Arabidopsis thaliana: one gene and its partners. The protein of the gene in region 2 interacts with the protein of the main gene of each other region in a pairwise test. Each region holds a gene or a part of one and is shown on either strand. Other genes may lie near its edges.

What was found.
Region 1: the proteins of ARF16 (region 2) and SWAP70 interact in a two-hybrid assay, tested with the Arabidopsis thaliana proteins (one large-scale study listed by BioGRID).
Region 3: the proteins of ARF16 (region 2) and PAP1 interact in a two-hybrid assay, tested with the Arabidopsis thaliana proteins (one large-scale study listed by BioGRID).

Annotation. Positions count from the first base shown.
Region 1 is NC_003071.7:13,142,120-13,147,958, reverse strand, and holds SWAP70 (Pleckstrin homology (PH) domain-containing protein), read left to right. Parts: upstream 1-1,898; 5' UTR 1,899-2,240; coding exon 2,241-2,264; intron 2,265-2,376; coding exon 2,377-2,484; intron 2,485-2,691; coding exon 2,692-2,753; intron 2,754-2,845; coding exon 2,846-2,929; intron 2,930-3,023; coding exon 3,024-3,055; intron 3,056-3,163; coding exon 3,164-3,245; intron 3,246-3,507; coding exon 3,508-3,736; intron 3,737-3,977; coding exon 3,978-4,205; intron 4,206-4,287; coding exon 4,288-4,580; coding exon of another isoform or gene 4,581-4,584; exon of another isoform or gene 4,585-4,660; coding exon 4,661-5,033; 3' UTR 5,034-5,294; downstream 5,295-5,839. Other genes in the region: AT2G30890 (Cytochrome b561/ferric reductase transmembrane protein family), read right to left, coding at 57-185; GSTF10 (glutathione S-transferase PHI 10), read right to left, coding at 5,567-5,839.
Region 2 is NC_003075.7:14,702,536-14,708,449, reverse strand, and holds ARF16 (auxin response factor 16), read left to right. Parts: upstream 1-2,095; 5' UTR 2,096-2,272; intron 2,273-2,865; 5' UTR 2,866-2,885; coding exon 2,886-3,971; intron 3,972-4,046; coding exon 4,047-4,903; intron 4,904-5,011; coding exon 5,012-5,081; 3' UTR 5,082-5,385; downstream 5,386-5,914. UniProt on the Arabidopsis thaliana protein: Auxin response factors (ARFs) are transcriptional factors that bind specifically to the DNA sequence 5'-TGTCTC-3' found in the auxin-responsive promoter elements (AuxREs). Could act as transcriptional activator or repressor.
Region 3 is NC_003074.8:5,611,642-5,616,668, forward strand, and holds PAP1 (phytochrome-associated protein 1), read right to left. Parts: upstream 3,163-5,027; 5' UTR 2,568-3,162; coding exon 2,275-2,567; intron 2,064-2,274; coding exon 1,783-2,063; intron 1,691-1,782; coding exon 1,558-1,690; intron 1,339-1,557; coding exon 1,271-1,338; coding exon of another isoform or gene 1,245-1,270; exon of another isoform or gene 1,195-1,244; coding exon 1,160-1,194; 3' UTR 562-1,159; downstream 1-561. UniProt on the Arabidopsis thaliana protein: Aux/IAA proteins are short-lived transcriptional factors that function as repressors of early auxin response genes at low auxin concentrations.

The DNA of each region.
Region 1 (5,839 bases), on a different chromosome or scaffold from region 2:
TTGAGATTATTAGATTTTAATTAGGATAAGCGAGAGAGAAAGAAGAGCATACGAACCTCGGAGATAGGAGAAGTTTCGACTGGACCATTGACATCAATGGCCAAGCTTCTGGTGTTTTCTTGGGAGGAGCATAGGGGAAGGAGGAGGAAGAGGAGAGAGACTAAGAGTTGATGATGAATCTCCATGACTTCATGTGGTTTGAAGTTGAAACAATAAATACAAAGTTTAGAATTGATGATAATCAATTCATGAGTTCATTTCATAAGTATAACTGTTAAAGTTTGTGTGTATCTAGCTCTTTGTAAAGAATTGGATGACGGTATATATGGAACTTGAATACTTGATCCACTAGTTTCTTAGCTATAGATAGAAGAAGAGAAAAGAAAAGAAAAGTTTTAGAATTTGCTTTTAGAGTGTAAAGAAATGTGATAAAAAGAAAAAAAAAAAAAGTTAAGCTCGCAACTTTGTTATATAATATGGTTTTGCATGGAGGTTGATGGTTTATTTTACTAGTATCTCTGAATTTAAATGAAGAAAAGCAAGTGGAGGAATGGGCAATCGATTTGATATAACGAACTTCATTTTTGTCAATCTTAATTAGATGTTAATAATGATGTTTTATATCTAAAAAGGACTATATATATATAATTTGAGTATTGAATTTAATTAATGAATGTAAGAAAAAACAGAAGAATATTCAAGTGGATGTCACTATCTCTGCGACTCTACAGCACTTTTGGTTTTCTATGAAAAAAAAAAGAAGAAACTGAAACTGAAAATTCCTTAAGGTCAGATTCATCCAAAAGTAGAATTTTAATGGACTTTTATGTTTTGTGGAAGAATGTCAGATTTTGCAAGGGAAAGTGAGTCATGGCAGGTTGCACTAGCTCATAGACCACTAACAATATGTTACTGTCAACAAACATCATGATTTCACTATGGAAGGTATACATGAATGACCACATCACATGGATATATATTTTCTTATTTTCAAACACTAATCATAAGAACATACCAAATTTTAGATAAATGGTCAAACTTATAAATGTCAAAAGGTGTCCAAATTCTGTAGTATATTATATAGTAGAAGTTTCTTCTTATTTTGGAGATTGAATATAAAGGAGCCAAAAAAATATGGATTTTGATAGCTTCTTAGACGTTTCATTTAGGAAATATATGCATGGTTGGGTTGATGAGAATGCCATAGAAGTGAAAAACAAATGAGAAAATTCATACAAAAGGAATCTACATACGTAGAATAAAGCAAGAGGACCACTTCACGTTTTGCAGCTTTCCCACTTCAGTTAACCCCAAAATTGAATATTGTCTTGGCTTACATGTCTACTACTCTTTTGCTTTGATGCTTTTCAATCCATTTCTGTATCCCCAACAAGTTGTTGTGTTTCCTCCTCCTATGTAGTTATCAGCGCCTAGCTATTAAGGAAAGAGTATCATCATATCACATATGATTACTCAAATCTCATATATTATTGAATATTATGTTATGTACTTATATCATGTTTCATTACGACCATTAGGGAAGTTGTAGTACATTGAAAATCTTGAAGATTAAGAGAAAGTGTAAAGCTGTGTCTAACGCATCTATGTTTGAAGTCCCTGTGAACTAAGTGTCTAAGTCACCACTACCAAGCGTCGAAGCTAGTACGCAATATTTCACAATCTTGCACACATTTGAGATTAGTTGGGCAAAGTAAGAACTCTGCTCTCTCCTAAACGATTGGCTTGTTACAGCCCGGCCCATTGATGTTCCTTAGCCCATCGTTTATGTAAAGCTTCTCCCTTAACAAAGCCTACCTTCTACAGATCTACTTAATCATCCTCATAACCAAAAACAAAACAAAAGAATCATGTGATGACACCTCCACCGTCAGATCAAAAACCATAAAAATGAAGTGAACAAACAAAAAGTGAGAAACTCAAGAACCGGTTCATTTGACGAGTAAGCTGATCCAGTATCGTACCGACCGGTTAAGTTGATTTGATCGCGTTGAAAGAGTGAAGACAGATTCAACTGCAATTCCGCGAAACCAAACCTAACAGCATTTTTCTCCAATTCCTTCTTCTTCTTCTTCTTCTTCTGTAACCTCGTCTTCTTCAGCTTATACTCATAGCTATACCAAAGAAAACCTCTTAAAACCCTTCTTCTCTCGATCCATCGATCAGCAACAATTCACTTCTAATCGATCAAGAGCTTTCCGATCTCGTCGATCCCAATTAACATGGCTTCCAACGGCGCTTCTCCGGTCTTTTTCTCTCTTGATCTCTGTGTGCTACAATTTAGTCTCTTTCTTTTGGCTGCTTTTCTCATTCACACTCTTAAATTGACCCATTTTGTCAATTTCTGAAAATGCGCAGAGAATTGTTGATGCTACTGAGAACAGCTTGGATAAGATCAAGCGACAATTGGCATCTGGCTCTGGTCGGAACTTGCTACAAGGACCTCTTTTCAAGCGATCTGAAACTGTAAGTCCAATTTTTTTAAGTGAAAATGATCAAAACCAGTTTTTGCTTTATTGATTGGGATTTCTTAGTTAGCTCAAACTAAGAAGACTCTCTGATAGCTCACTATTAGATTTCTATAGCTTAAACAAGTCTTTTGGCCTGAAATGTCTTGGCTTATTCAAAGGTTCACAATGATAATATCTTTTGTTTGTGTTTATGTATGAATAGCTGAGAAAATGGAACGAACGATGGGTGATACTTGATCCAACAACAGGGAAAATGGAGTATAAGTGAGTTATATCAATTTGCTTATGTAGCTGCATTTGTGTGTAGACCACTTCATCATGGTTTTATTCATTTCTGATGTATTTCCATGACTCAGGACGAGGCGAAATGAGCCAACTATCAAGGGAACAATTTTGTTTGACGAAAATAGCACAATCTCCATCTCTCCTGTCAACTTCCAGTATGGATGCTACATTCTTTTTTTTGTTGCTCTGTATAATCATCATTATTTGGTGTCTGTTTGTATCATTGACTTTGTTTCTTTTGTGTTTCAGGGGGCTTCCAAAATATAATGGTTGCTGTATTTGTATCCTTGGTTTTAGTAAAATGTTGGCATATTTATAATTGTTTCTTTTGTCTATAAGGAGATAGTTGATTGGAATCTAGAGTTGAATTTTCTTCAACTTGATATAAGATATTGGTACCCCACAGAAGAAAGATTACTTTTTGTGTGCAGAGACTCCTGGTGCAGCTAAAGCTTGGGTCACAACCTTACAGTAAGTCATCTGGATCTTCATCTTTTTGTTTGCTTCTCTTTCTGTCCTTTTTATTTACTTACCATTCTCTAGAGAAGCCACCCCGCTTATTTCATCTATCTTAAATAATTCATAGTTGTGTTGATTTAATGGTTTCGTCGTCGACCATGTTGAAAGAATCATCTTTCTCTCTCTTTTTACGTTTCTTACTGAAAATGTAATACCTTCTAAATGCCCCTCAAAAGCCAATCTGATAAACCTTATCTTTCTTTGTTCGTTCCAGTGCGACACAGCTAGTTCTAAAGGCCCATAAGGAGGCTGTCGAATCTCTAAGTGGAAGTGGTTCTGCAACACTTGGTACCGTTGCAACCGTTGTTGCCGCTGCCAATTCAACAGCATTGGAATGTTCCAGAGAAATTCAAGCAGCAATGCAGATCTCTTTGAGGAATGCATTGAAAATAACGCCAAATAAACCGATTGATGGACCACTAGATGATTTGACAATAATGAAGGTGTGGTATCTTTGCATCTCTCTTTCTCTTCGAATTTGGGAAACTTTTGTGAATAGCATATTGACATCCTTTGGCTGTTGAGATTCTGAAATGTCAAGATGAACGATGAAAGCATATAGGGACACCTTACAGGAAACTCTGCTTGTCAAGGATGAAAATTAACAGAATTAGCATAAATCTTATTCGTCCATCTTCATTCTAATGTCCAGGTTAACCTTATTGAGCCACTTACATCTTACAGGAAACTCTGCGTGTCAAAGATGAAGAATTACATAATTTAGCCAGGGAACTTCGTTCTCGTGACTCAATGATAAAGGAAATAGCAGATAAGCTATCTGAGACTGCTGAAGCAGCTGTAGCTGCAGCATCTGCTGCTCATACAATGGATGAACAAAGGAAAATCGTTTGTGTGGAATTTGAGCGCTTGACTACAGACTCACAGAGACAGCAAGAAGCCACAAAATTAAAGGTAATGAGGCCATGTCATATATAGATACTTTTGCATCCTTGTGTATGTTTTGTTGTTTATTTGATCTTTATCTCCTATGTAGCTCAAGGAATTGGAAGAGAAGACCTTTACTTTGAGTAAGGAAAAAGATCAATTGGTTAAGGAAAGAGACGCTGCTCTCCAAGAGGCACATATGTGGCGGTCTGAGCTTGGGAAAGCCAGAGAGCGTGTTGTCATACTTGAAGGAGCTGTTGTGAGGGCCGAAGAGAAAGTGAGGGTTGCAGAAGCAAGCGGTGAAGCAAAATCAAAAGAGGCTTCTCAGAGAGAAGCAACTGCTTGGACAGAGAAGCAAGAGCTTTTAGCATATGTGAATATGTTACAAACTCAGCTTCAAAGGTGAGCCTATCTGAATCTATCTCCCAGGGAAACTCATGACTTTTGAAGGGTCATAAATCTCTTTATTTTTGAATAAACAGGCAGCAACTAGAGACAAAGCAAGTGTGTGAGGAGAAGACTGAGTCTACTAACGGCGAAGCTTCTCTTCCAATGACAAAGGAAACAGAAAAGAATGTGGATAAAGCATGTCTGAGCATTTCAAGAACAGCCTCTATACCGGGAGAGAATGTAGTCCATATGAGTGAAGAGCAGGTAGTAAACGCTCAGCCTCCGGTGGGAGAAAACGAATGGAATGATATTCAGGCAACAGAGGCAAGAGTTTCTGATGTAAGAGAAATATCTGCAGAGACTGAACGGGACAGAAGAAACAGCTTGGATATCCCGGTAGTGTCTCCTGAACCTAACGTTCCACGCAATGATCCGCCTTCCGAATCATTTCATCACCAGCCTTGAATAAAGATTGGTAGATCTTCGTACATTTTAATATACTCTTTGATGGTCTGGTAATGTTTGGAGAGTTGATTCTTCTAACAACAAAAAGAATTTGTCTTTTTAGTTTTCTTGTACATTCAAGAGTTGTTATGTATCTGCCGCTCTTGAATTTGTCTGACTAGGGAATGATTCTTTTTCCCTTTTATTACAACATGAAGAACAGAGAGATATGTGTTAAACTTTGACTTATGTTTTTGGATTCATATAAACCAGTTTTCATATAAATGCAATCCTTCAACAAACCACGATGGTTGTGATGTTAGTACCAGTTTTATCAAAGACCTACACTGAATAGAGGAATATACATGGGTTGAGTCACTCTGATTTTAAACTCTTATTGAAAAGCTTGAAAAGTTACAGAATACAAGAAACCAGAGACAACAAATGAGACAGAGTTCCGTTTCTTATTGAAACAACAAGACAATCGACCCGAAAACGAACTCCCTCAAAGAACACAAAGCTCACACAAACCCCCCAAGTCAACATCTCCTTGTTTAAACAGGTAGTGAGTACTTAGCGGAAACCTCCTTCCACGCAGCACGGCTACTAATCTTATCCCACCAAGCGCTAACATGCTTCCTATCTTTGATCAAATGAGCCTTCCCAATAGGACCAACAAGATACTCGGTGAAAGGAAGGTGAGCCAAATCAGCTAGACTCACAAAATCACCAGCCAAGTATTCGTTCTTAGAAAGCTGAGCTTCATAGACATCAAGCACTTCTGCAAGCTTCTCTTCACTCTCCTTAATAACTTTCTCATCAGCAGG
Region 2 (5,914 bases):
TTAGCTTTTATTTTATCATTCTGTTTTTTTTCTTTTGTCCAAACTATTTTTCAAATTTTTTATCAAATCCATTATATGTGAATAAAATAAAAACCATAAACCCAAATAATTGAATGGAACAAACAAACTAAAATGTATAAATTGAAAAATAAAACAAGCAAGAAATATTGGCGAGCATTTCCATTTCCGTCATGTCTCGTTGCTGTCTATAAATAATTTTTTCTTTTTAAGAAATTTGTTTCGTCCAGTTCTCGCAAAATCCCAAATTGTGGTTTGCCAACCCCTAAAAATATAACATGATTATTAGTAGATTGAGTTCACATGCCCAAGTTTTTCCAAAAGTTAGCCCAAATCTAAATTACATTATTAACGACACTTGTGGTCATGAGGAACATCGATAAACATAGAAGGTGTAACCACTAAGGAGTATTACATGCAAATGTGGTAACCAAAATCTGAAGGAATAATAAGAGGACAATTAGATCAGATCCGGTGGTTTAAGATTCAAATACCGAATTTGCCCTTGTGACATGTAAATTATTACTGGATTAACATAAATGGAGACACACGTAATAACTATTGACAAGGAAAGTATGTGGTATTGACCAAACAACACACATACACAGACACACTTCAAACTTAACCATGGTTACTCACACGTGATATGTCCTCCGGTTAAATATGTTTTCATTATCATTGTTAATTATTATTTTCTTATTATCACATTCCCATATATTAAAAGATTTTAGTGTTATCTAAAATAATTTCAGATTATAATTTCAGTTTCATAATTCCAATCTTGAAAATTTTGGTTCTTATACTTGTGTATATAATTGGATATTGGATTTTTGTTTACGTATGGCCTAGATCAAACTCTTGGTATTATTAATTGGAAAGCTAACTCTTACGACAAAAAAATACAATGACACATGCGGAAATTTATTGAGCCTTGCTACGATCATGTAGGATTGACATATGTATGTCGTATCTCTATCTTATTTGGATATATAGGGTATAGTCATATCAGAGAAATTTTCTAAAATGTTTTCTTAGGATCCTTAAATTATATTTTAAAAGGATTATCTAAGTCTCCTGATTTCCTATGAATTGGTTCGCAACCTACGAAAAAACTATGGGATCAAAAGCAAAAAATTCTAAGTTTTTTTTTCAACTTTGGTAAATTTTAACATAAATAGTTAGATGTTTATCTCCCTTCATTCCTTTTTGAAACCAATAATTTTAATCTTCCTTTCACTTACCATTTAGAAAAACACACGAAACTATGTTTTTTGTTTTTAAAAATATGTGTACCTCATATATATGCTGCATGTACAGCCTTTATACGTCTATATGCAGTTGTGTATTTCATATAATTATACTATACAAATAGAACATAAAATAGAACTATAGTTATTTACAACACAATATATATATATATATACAGCTGTATAATGTATTTTAGAATACTAGTCTGGGCCAATCAAACGGGAATATAAAAACCCGAGGTAGAATTTTATTTTTACATCGTTTAAACACAAAGAAAGATGGTTAGCAACAGCAAATTGCTTACATGGTTATCAACAAAATATCGTGTTTCGTAAACAATAAGTTAAAAATAATTCAATGAACTATTGGGATTATCAAATCAAACTGTAAAAATTAGTTTATTCAAAGAACAATTAATGGCTGAGTTAATTAGCTTGCCTTGAATTGTTAAATAATTAGATGCTTCTAATCAGATTTCAAGGAGATATGTCGGAAGCACCGACGACACGTGCGGATCCGTCACGTGCGCGATTCAACTCTTTAACTCGTATGTCGATATTTCTTTTTTTAATTCTCTTCTTTTTTCACACTCCATATTGTCGATTTTTATGCCCGGAATCAAGGGTTTGACTTACCAAATTGTTACCTTCTTTTAGGCTTAAAATTTATTACACTTAAAATAATCCGGATTAATATTTTCTAAAAAATTCACTAACTAGAGAAGAAATAATAATAAAAAAGACATGTGAAAGAGTTAATGAAAGTTGAGAAAAAAGAGATAATATTATTTTTATTTTATTTTTAGTTTTGTTTTTCTGCAGAAGAGCCAAAGCTCTTTCCTTCATATATACGAACCCCTTTTTCCATTTTCTTTGTGCAAAAAGTGTAACCTTCCTTATCCGATTCTGAAGCAGAAATTAGCTGCAGAATCTTCAGATTCTCTCTATACCTAGATTGGTTTTTCACAGAATCTTCGCTATTTTGTTCAGATCTGCCACTGTTTCAGGTTTGAACTAATTTTACATAAATTTTCTCTCCTAATCTTTCTCTGTTTCATCTTTGGTTTTCTCAATCGATTCGATATGAATTTGATTTGGTTTAGCTTGATTCGATTTGATCATCATGTCTAACTAGTTCTATCTAACTTTGTTAGTTTACTGTTCTTTTGTGTGGTTCTTGTTCTTACTTCAGACCGATCTATGTTTTTTTTGCTTTGTCTGCTTCACACAACACAATCGTGAGCTTGCTCTTATGAAAATCTAATCTAACTAAATTTTCTTAATTTGTGGTCTTTTTAATTTCATAATGGATTAATAAACTAAATATCCTCAAAACGTTCTTGAAGTTTTATAATTTGTATTTTTTGTTTTCTCCGGAGATTTGGTATTTGAAATCTTCTTACTATCTGAAATGACCCTTTTTGTCGGTTTTTCTTGAATCTTTTTATTTATTTTTATTTTCCGGGAAAATTTCGTTTGTTAGGTAAAGTTGACTGATACAAAGGACTTGAGTTGCTAAATAAAAAGCATTTGTATTGTGCTTTTGTTTGGTTACTCTGTTCTCAAACAAAAGCTGATACATTTGTATTTGTTGTTGCAGCAAAAACGGTCACAAAAAATATGATAAATGTGATGAATCCAATGAAAGGTGGAACAGAGAAAGGTTTAGATCCTCAGCTATGGCATGCATGTGCTGGTGGTATGGTTCGTATGCCTCCTATGAACTCTAAAGTCTTTTACTTTCCTCAAGGTCACGCCGAAAACGCTTACGATTGTGTCGATTTCGGTAATCTCCCTATTCCTCCCATGGTTTTGTGTCGTGTTTTAGCCATTAAGTATATGGCTGATGCTGAATCTGACGAGGTTTTCGCTAAACTGAGATTGATTCCTTTGAAAGATGATGAGTATGTTGATCACGAGTATGGTGATGGTGAAGATAGTAACGGTTTCGAGAGTAATAGTGAGAAAACGCCTTCGTTTGCTAAGACTTTGACTCAGTCTGATGCTAATAACGGTGGGGGTTTCTCTGTTCCTCGTTATTGCGCTGAGACGATTTTCCCGAGGTTGGATTATAACGCCGAGCCGCCGGTTCAGACCATTCTTGCTAAGGATGTTCATGGTGATGTTTGGAAGTTCAGACATATTTATAGAGGGACGCCTCGGCGTCACCTTCTTACAACCGGATGGAGTAATTTTGTAAACCAGAAGAAGCTTGTGGCGGGAGATTCGATTGTCTTCATGAGAGCGGAGAATGGAGATCTTTGTGTAGGTATTAGGAGGGCTAAGAGAGGAGGGATAGGTAATGGACCCGAATATTCAGCGGGTTGGAATCCGATCGGTGGAAGTTGCGGCTACTCTTCTCTGTTAAGGGAAGATGAAAGCAATAGTTTGAGGAGAAGTAATTGTTCCCTTGCGGATAGGAAGGGGAAAGTGACGGCTGAATCTGTTATAGAAGCAGCCACTCTTGCTATTAGCGGAAGACCGTTTGAGGTTGTGTACTATCCGAGAGCTAGCACTTCAGAGTTTTGTGTCAAGGCATTAGATGCTCGAGCTGCCATGCGGATTCCGTGGTGCTCAGGTATGAGGTTTAAGATGGCTTTTGAGACAGAGGATTCGTCTCGGATAAGTTGGTTTATGGGGACTGTTTCAGCTGTTAATGTCTCTGATCCTATCCGTTGGCCTAACTCTCCTTGGCGGCTTCTACAGGTAAACAAACACTCAAAATTTTCTTCTAGCTCAAGTTAGAATATAGACTCATAGGTTGCATTTTTGTGTTTTCAGGTGGCGTGGGATGAGCCAGATTTACTCCAAAACGTGAAGCGAGTTAACCCGTGGTTGGTGGAATTGGTATCAAACGTACATCCGATCCCGCTTACTTCGTTTTCGCCACCGAGGAAAAAGATGCGGCTACCTCAGCATCCAGATTACAACAATCTGATCAATTCGATTCCAGTACCTTCATTCCCAAGCAATCCCCTTATTAGATCAAGCCCGTTAAGCTCTGTTCTGGACAATGTTCCCGTGGGTTTACAGGGAGCCAGGCATAATGCTCATCAGTACTACGGGTTATCATCTTCGGATCTTCACCATTACTACTTGAATAGACCACCTCCTCCTCCTCCTCCATCCTCTCTCCAACTTTCTCCTTCTCTCGGTCTCCGAAACATCGATACCAAAAACGAAAAAGGATTTTGCTTTTTGACAATGGGAACAACACCATGCAATGATACCAAATCTAAAAAGTCCCATATTGTATTGTTCGGCAAGCTTATACTACCCGAGGAACAGCTATCAGAAAAAGGCTCAACGGATACCGCAAACATAGAGAAAACGCAGATTTCATCAGGCGGGTCGAACCAAAACGGCGTTGCGGGAAGGGAGTTTTCTTCGTCAGATGAAGGATCACCTTGCTCTAAGAAAGTTCATGATGCATCAGGTTTGGAAACAGGGCATTGTAAAGTGTTTATGGAGTCAGACGATGTAGGTCGAACCTTAGACCTATCGGTTCTTGGTTCATACGAAGAATTGAGTCGGAAACTCTCTGACATGTTTGGAATCAAAAAGTCTGAGATGTTAAGCTCTGTTCTCTATAGGGATGCATCAGGAGCCATCAAATACGCAGGAAACGAACCTTTCAGGTACATTTTTTTATTATAGACAAGATTGTCATATTTTTCGTACTATTTTGATGATGAAGTAAAAGAAAACATCTAATAGTTGTTGGTGTTTTGACTCATCTTTGGCAGTGAGTTCTTGAAGACAGCTCGAAGATTGACAATTCTGACGGAACAAGGAAGTGAGAGCGTTGTAGTATAACTTGGCAGAGTGTTTTGTTGGAGCTTGGAAGTCAAAACTCAACGATTGAATCTTTTAAGTTTTTTTTTTCTTTTATTTGTTTATTTTAGTTCCACTTTTTTGGATTATGTAAGTTTCAAAATGCAATTCACAATCTATTTGCAAATAAAATAGGTTCTTCTTCCCTTGAAAAGCTTCATTGATCAAATAGGGTATAAGAACCAAAGTCTAGACGGCAAATTATGATATGTTTGTCAAAGTCACTTCAATTTGTCTACAAATTAGTGATGACACGCATAAACCAATAGGCCTCAAACATGGTTGCATTGCTTACTTTGATTCATTATGTAATATATAAAGTGATTTTTCTTTAAATATTTCATTATTTGTTTCTTGGGATCAATAAGTTGTTGAGAGGTATGAAAAGTAATAAAAATCTGGAAGACAATTAGTTAGGGTGATGCGAGGGTCATGTCTCTAGGCACATGCACAACAAACAACGGTCGGATCCTATGTTTGACAAAACACAAAGTCCTCAACACCTAAGTTAAGTTGGATCTCCCACTTTTCATTTATAACTCAAAACTATATATATATTTAAAAGATTTTCAGATTCCAATGTATACACAACGAAAATTCCATATCATCTTCAACCTACTAATTATAAATGTACAACGAAAGTACTCTATATTCGCTTCTCGGTTCTCAAAGTCAATGAAGTTCTAAACTCACTTTTTCTCTGCTTATTTAATGTAAAAAGACCAAAAGTTCTAGCCCTTTTTACTTTCTAGTCTTTAATCTTATATAAAACCATACTCACTTTTTCTGTTCCAACCTAATGTCCTATAATGTTC
Region 3 (5,027 bases), on a different chromosome or scaffold from region 2:
CAGGGCCGGTTCAAACTTTTTGAAGACCTTTTGCTGATTTATAAAAACTGACTTTAGTTAATATTGGTTTTTAATTTCTGTAATTTTTGGACCCTAAAACCTTAAAGAAAATTGAAAAAAAAATTGAGGACCCTGTGCTTTTGCTCCTCTAGCACTCCCCTAGAGCCGGCACTGGTGCGACATTTTGCAACAAATGAAACAACGGAATTTTCCAACTCATTATGTTGCGGCTATCGCTTTACATATGTTTCGAAAATGTTTCTTTTTTGGTTTGGTTAAAAGTTAAAACATATACCATTATTTAGCTACCAAAAAATGTTATTATCAAACTATTTGGCTGCATCAATTTCAATGGTTATATTGTTTAACCACAACACTCATCTGGTAATGAGAAGGACAACTTCGAATAAAATTTTTAAGATGAATACAAGTCGGCCAAGTGATGCTTGTGGTATGAATATATTTATCACGAAAACAATGTGCTAAATTAAACATATCTATAGTGATGTTTTAGTCGATCCACCAAGACACTGTCCAATAAGTTACAATGTGTATGTATGATTTAAAAAGTCAGGATAAAAAGCTGCTAAATTCTGCACCTAGAAGAACAAAAGAGATGATATAGCCACCAAAATTATCACGACATGGACTGATCTCATTCTGAAAAGTCTTTTTTGAGTTTTCAACTTCCAATCTTATCTTCTTATATACATGCATACTCAGGTTAAATAGTAAAAACAAGAAGAAAAAAAAAGACAACAACAAAAACAACAATAATGGCCTTTCATTCTCAGCTTTTTACATGATTAAAGGTATAGCCAAAGTTGGAAGGAACAAAAGTTAAAAGAGCTTTTACAGAGAATAAAAATTTCATCTTCTTTTTTCAAAAAGAGTTTTGCAGACATGCATGAGATAATTATTACAGTATGTTCTAATTATCTCCTTAATTAATTAAAATGCTTATAAACACAGATTGCTTATGTAATCTCATCGTCTAGTGTCTTGAAGACATGGGAATATCAGATCAGATCAAATGTTTCTCTGGACCAAAAAAAAAGTAAAAAACCAATGATTAACTCTTATATATAACAAAAACCAGATGTACATTTATAAAGCTTTGAGACTCTCTGTCTGAAATAAAAGTTTCTAAAAAGACTCTTCAGTGCATCATCTTCTCTTGCTTACTGCATCCAACTGCAAATATACAGAGGAACCCTTTTAATCATATAGCTCTAATAAATCATCTAAACATATAAGAACAGAAGCTTACATGTCAAGGCAGATGAAATCTCAGAGCTTTTAATCACACGCAGTCTCTTCACAGATGAAACAAACATTCTGTGTTTAAAAACAAAGATTAAAGATCAGTTAGTATGCAAAAAAAGAGGTATAAACAAATCTCCAAGCAAAATTCTATTCTTTAGGTAAAGAATTATCAATTTGAATTACTACTACTATTGATTAAAAGCTGAGAACTTTTGTTGTTATATGATCAAGAATCTAATTCTGCAAAACACTGAATCAGATTCAGAGAACAAAAGGGGAAAAGATTCTTACTGCCATGGAACATCCCCAACAAGCATCTTGTCCCCTTCATTGTCTTCATAGGTTAAAGTAAATTCTCCTTTCCCATCTAATAATCCAATGATAGGTTTCTCTTCTCCTTGACCATCAGAGATATCTCTTTGAGCTATAAACCAACAACATACACAAATCATACTCAGTAAACACAAGTAACACTCCTAAAGAACTAAAAAACAGAATTTGAGATTAAGATTTAACCTGCGAGTAGACCTCTGAAGAGTTTGTCAACGACAAAAGAGAGCTGTTCGTAGCTGTTGTAAGCATTGAGATCAACTTTACGACCAATAGGAACACCATCCATGTTGATCTTGACAAACATTCCTTCCTTCTTGGTTTCAACTTGTTTTTCACCATCATCACTCTTGTTGATTTGACCTCCATGAGAGGATTCGTTACCTAGCTTTGAAGAGCTTGTGCTCGCTAGATTCTTTCTGAACGAACGAACCGGAGGCCAACCCACCACTGGACCAGGAGCAGTTCTTTGAACCAGATATCAAAAGAAACAAGAGACATATGTCAATACCAAACGACAAAAACAGAGCAAAACAGAGTAAATGTTGAAACTTTTAACATGTGAAGGTAAAAAAAAAAACACAGATTGCAGAAGATGGGTCCCTAATGTTCAAGAGAATATCCTCTGTCAAAGCAGTAAGAAAAAATAACAGTGAAGGAAAAAAAAGGAGATTATACCTTTTCTGTGAGATGTGAGGAACAGAAGTGGTTTTGTTGGAAGGAGAGAAGTGATTGCCATTAAAACAGTGGAAAGATTTGTCTTCTGTTTCCTTCTTGATGTTTCTTATCTCTGTGTTCTTCTTCTTGATTGCTGAATGATCTTCTTCATCACCACCGGGTGGTCCAAGCCTTAGCTCAAGTTTCTTCTCCTGATCTGTGTTGTTCTTGTCTTCTTGGTACCATTTCCTTCCTTGTGGAATCAAATCAAGAAGTTTTGGACCGATTTCTCTGTTTCTTGGACAACCTTCCATTGATCAACCCAAGATTCCTTCTATACGTTAACTATGTATGAAATTGAAATCTATAGCTTCACTAAACCCTAAGAACCCCTTTTAAAGAAACAATCCCACAAAACTGAGAGCGAGAGAGAGAAAGAGAGATGTGTAATGAAGGTATGGTAAGAGAGCAGTGGTGGGATTTTATACAAAATCAAAGCTTTTTTTTTCTCTCTCTCGTGCACGCTTTGGTGGGTTCTCTCTCACACAGCCTTACCTTTTTTTCTTTCTCAATTTGTTGTTCTCTCTCTCTAAAGATTCTGAAAGGGACGAGAAGAGAAAAAATAGGAATACAAAGAAAAGGAAATTTGGATTTGTATGAACAAAAAAAAACTCAGAAAAAGGTAAAGCAAAGTAGAGTGACTCCACTTTTACTCCTAAACCCCAAAAGTAGAAATGAAAACTACAATAAATTTACAGATTGCATACCAAGAAAAACAGTAATTGTTCTTGACATGAAAAGAGAATACTGTGAAAAAAAAGAAGTGGGTTTTAACGTTTTTGGTTTTAGGAGTTCTTTTGTGGAGTAAAACACACGCAACCTTGTCTTTTTTTCTGCCTCAAATATCGCTAATTAAGGGTTTGTCTAGTAAAAGAAGCAAAGCGTGCTGTTCTGTTTCTCACAAGTATACGAATTAGAAAAATAATTAAATGCGTAATTCCAATAAACAACTTGACCATTAAAAAAATACTAATAAGAGTAATTAAAATATGATAACAATAAAGGAACTAAGGGAAGATCCCATAATTTATGGTCTGTTTTTAGGACCACTCTCTTATCCACTGTCCATAAGACACATATCCCTATGCTTTTCTAAAAACATTTTTCTATAGGTCGTCATGGTAATTTGATACTTTAATAGTAATACTACCATTCTACAAAGATATACATAAAGCAAATAATAAATGAACATCATGGGAAGATCAATTGAGAGAATTCAAGAAATGGGTGAGGCATTGTATAAACATACGAATCTGCATGGCGTCTCAGTGAGATATATGTAATTATTTATTTATAAATTTGCCACACAATATGTCAATTTGTTAGGTAGCTAAACAATTATTTTGTCAAAAGTTAAAAACAATGTGTACGTGTGGATTACGATGGTATAATTTAATTTGCTTCCCCAACCAAGTAAATAGTCAACTGTTTGTTTGTTTTTCCTAATCAAAAATTTTCTTTTCTCAAATCTACAAAATCAACATATTTTGATAAAAATAACAAAAGAAAAGACTTTAGCAGAAACAATTGTAGTTGGTCCTTTGATCTTAAAAAATGTACATAATTTTGCAGCGTAAATCAAGAACATATTTCAAGTTTTTCAACCAAAGATTGAAGCTATTTTATTTGGTTTTTCAGGAGGGGGAAAAGAATGTACATGTCTCTCCCACGTACGTGTGACACCGATATTACGATAAAGCCGACGTAGAAAAATCTCGAGTGAGAGTTCCGGTCAAGTAAGGAAGGGTAATTTAGGAAATTGAAGAAGGAGTGTGTCTCTAGTCATATCTTGTCGCCGTTTTACCCAACTCCGTGACTTTCTTCCCTCACTGTCAGACAAAACCTTAACCATGGTTAACATAACCTGAACCTCTCCGGTTTAACTTAACCGCACTAACTAGATCCGCACAGACAAACTAGACAGTGGACACATGTTGAAGTTGCACAAGATTTTGAGATCGTACGATAAGGTTTAAATTTGGGCTTTAATCAAAGCCGTAGAAGTGAATAGAGATATAGCAAATGTGACGGCTGTGATTAAAAGAGTACAAAGCAAAGCATCCGATTAAAAAAGTAGCCGACTCAGGAGAAAAGGAACAAAAAAACAACTCGTGAATTGAATGTCATATCAAGGGAAATAAAGAAAAGCAAGTGAGAATAGTGGTGGTGTCAATGATGCTCTTCCTAGAATTTTCACCAAGAAATAAAATTATTTTTATCCACTCACTAATTTTTTTAGTGAACTAAAAAAGGAGTATATGTAAGAAATTGATATCATTTTAACAAAATAAAAAGAGGAATAAAAGAAAAAATAATCCAAATATGGATAAGGTCTGAACTGATCCTCTAGTATAACTGGCCCATGAAAATCACGCTGAAAATGAGCCCAATTGTTGATCATCAATGTTCATGAACTTCATGCCTTTATGGAAAAATGGGTTGACTATTGAGTTTTGACTACTAATACTAGTAGTTTTGTGAATTTATCACATATATAATGCAAGTTTCTTAGAGTTGAATGAAAAAAAATCATGCCTTGCATATTTGATTGTACTCCTTTCTTCAAAATTTTGTTCATGTTTTTGGGTGCTTGTATTTGCATATTTAGAGTAGACTATAGAAAACTAATTTTTTTTTTTTTTTTTCTCATCTCTTCTTATCAGACTTGTATTCCAGAAGGCTTCACCTCTTACGCAAGTGGAGTTTTTACATAT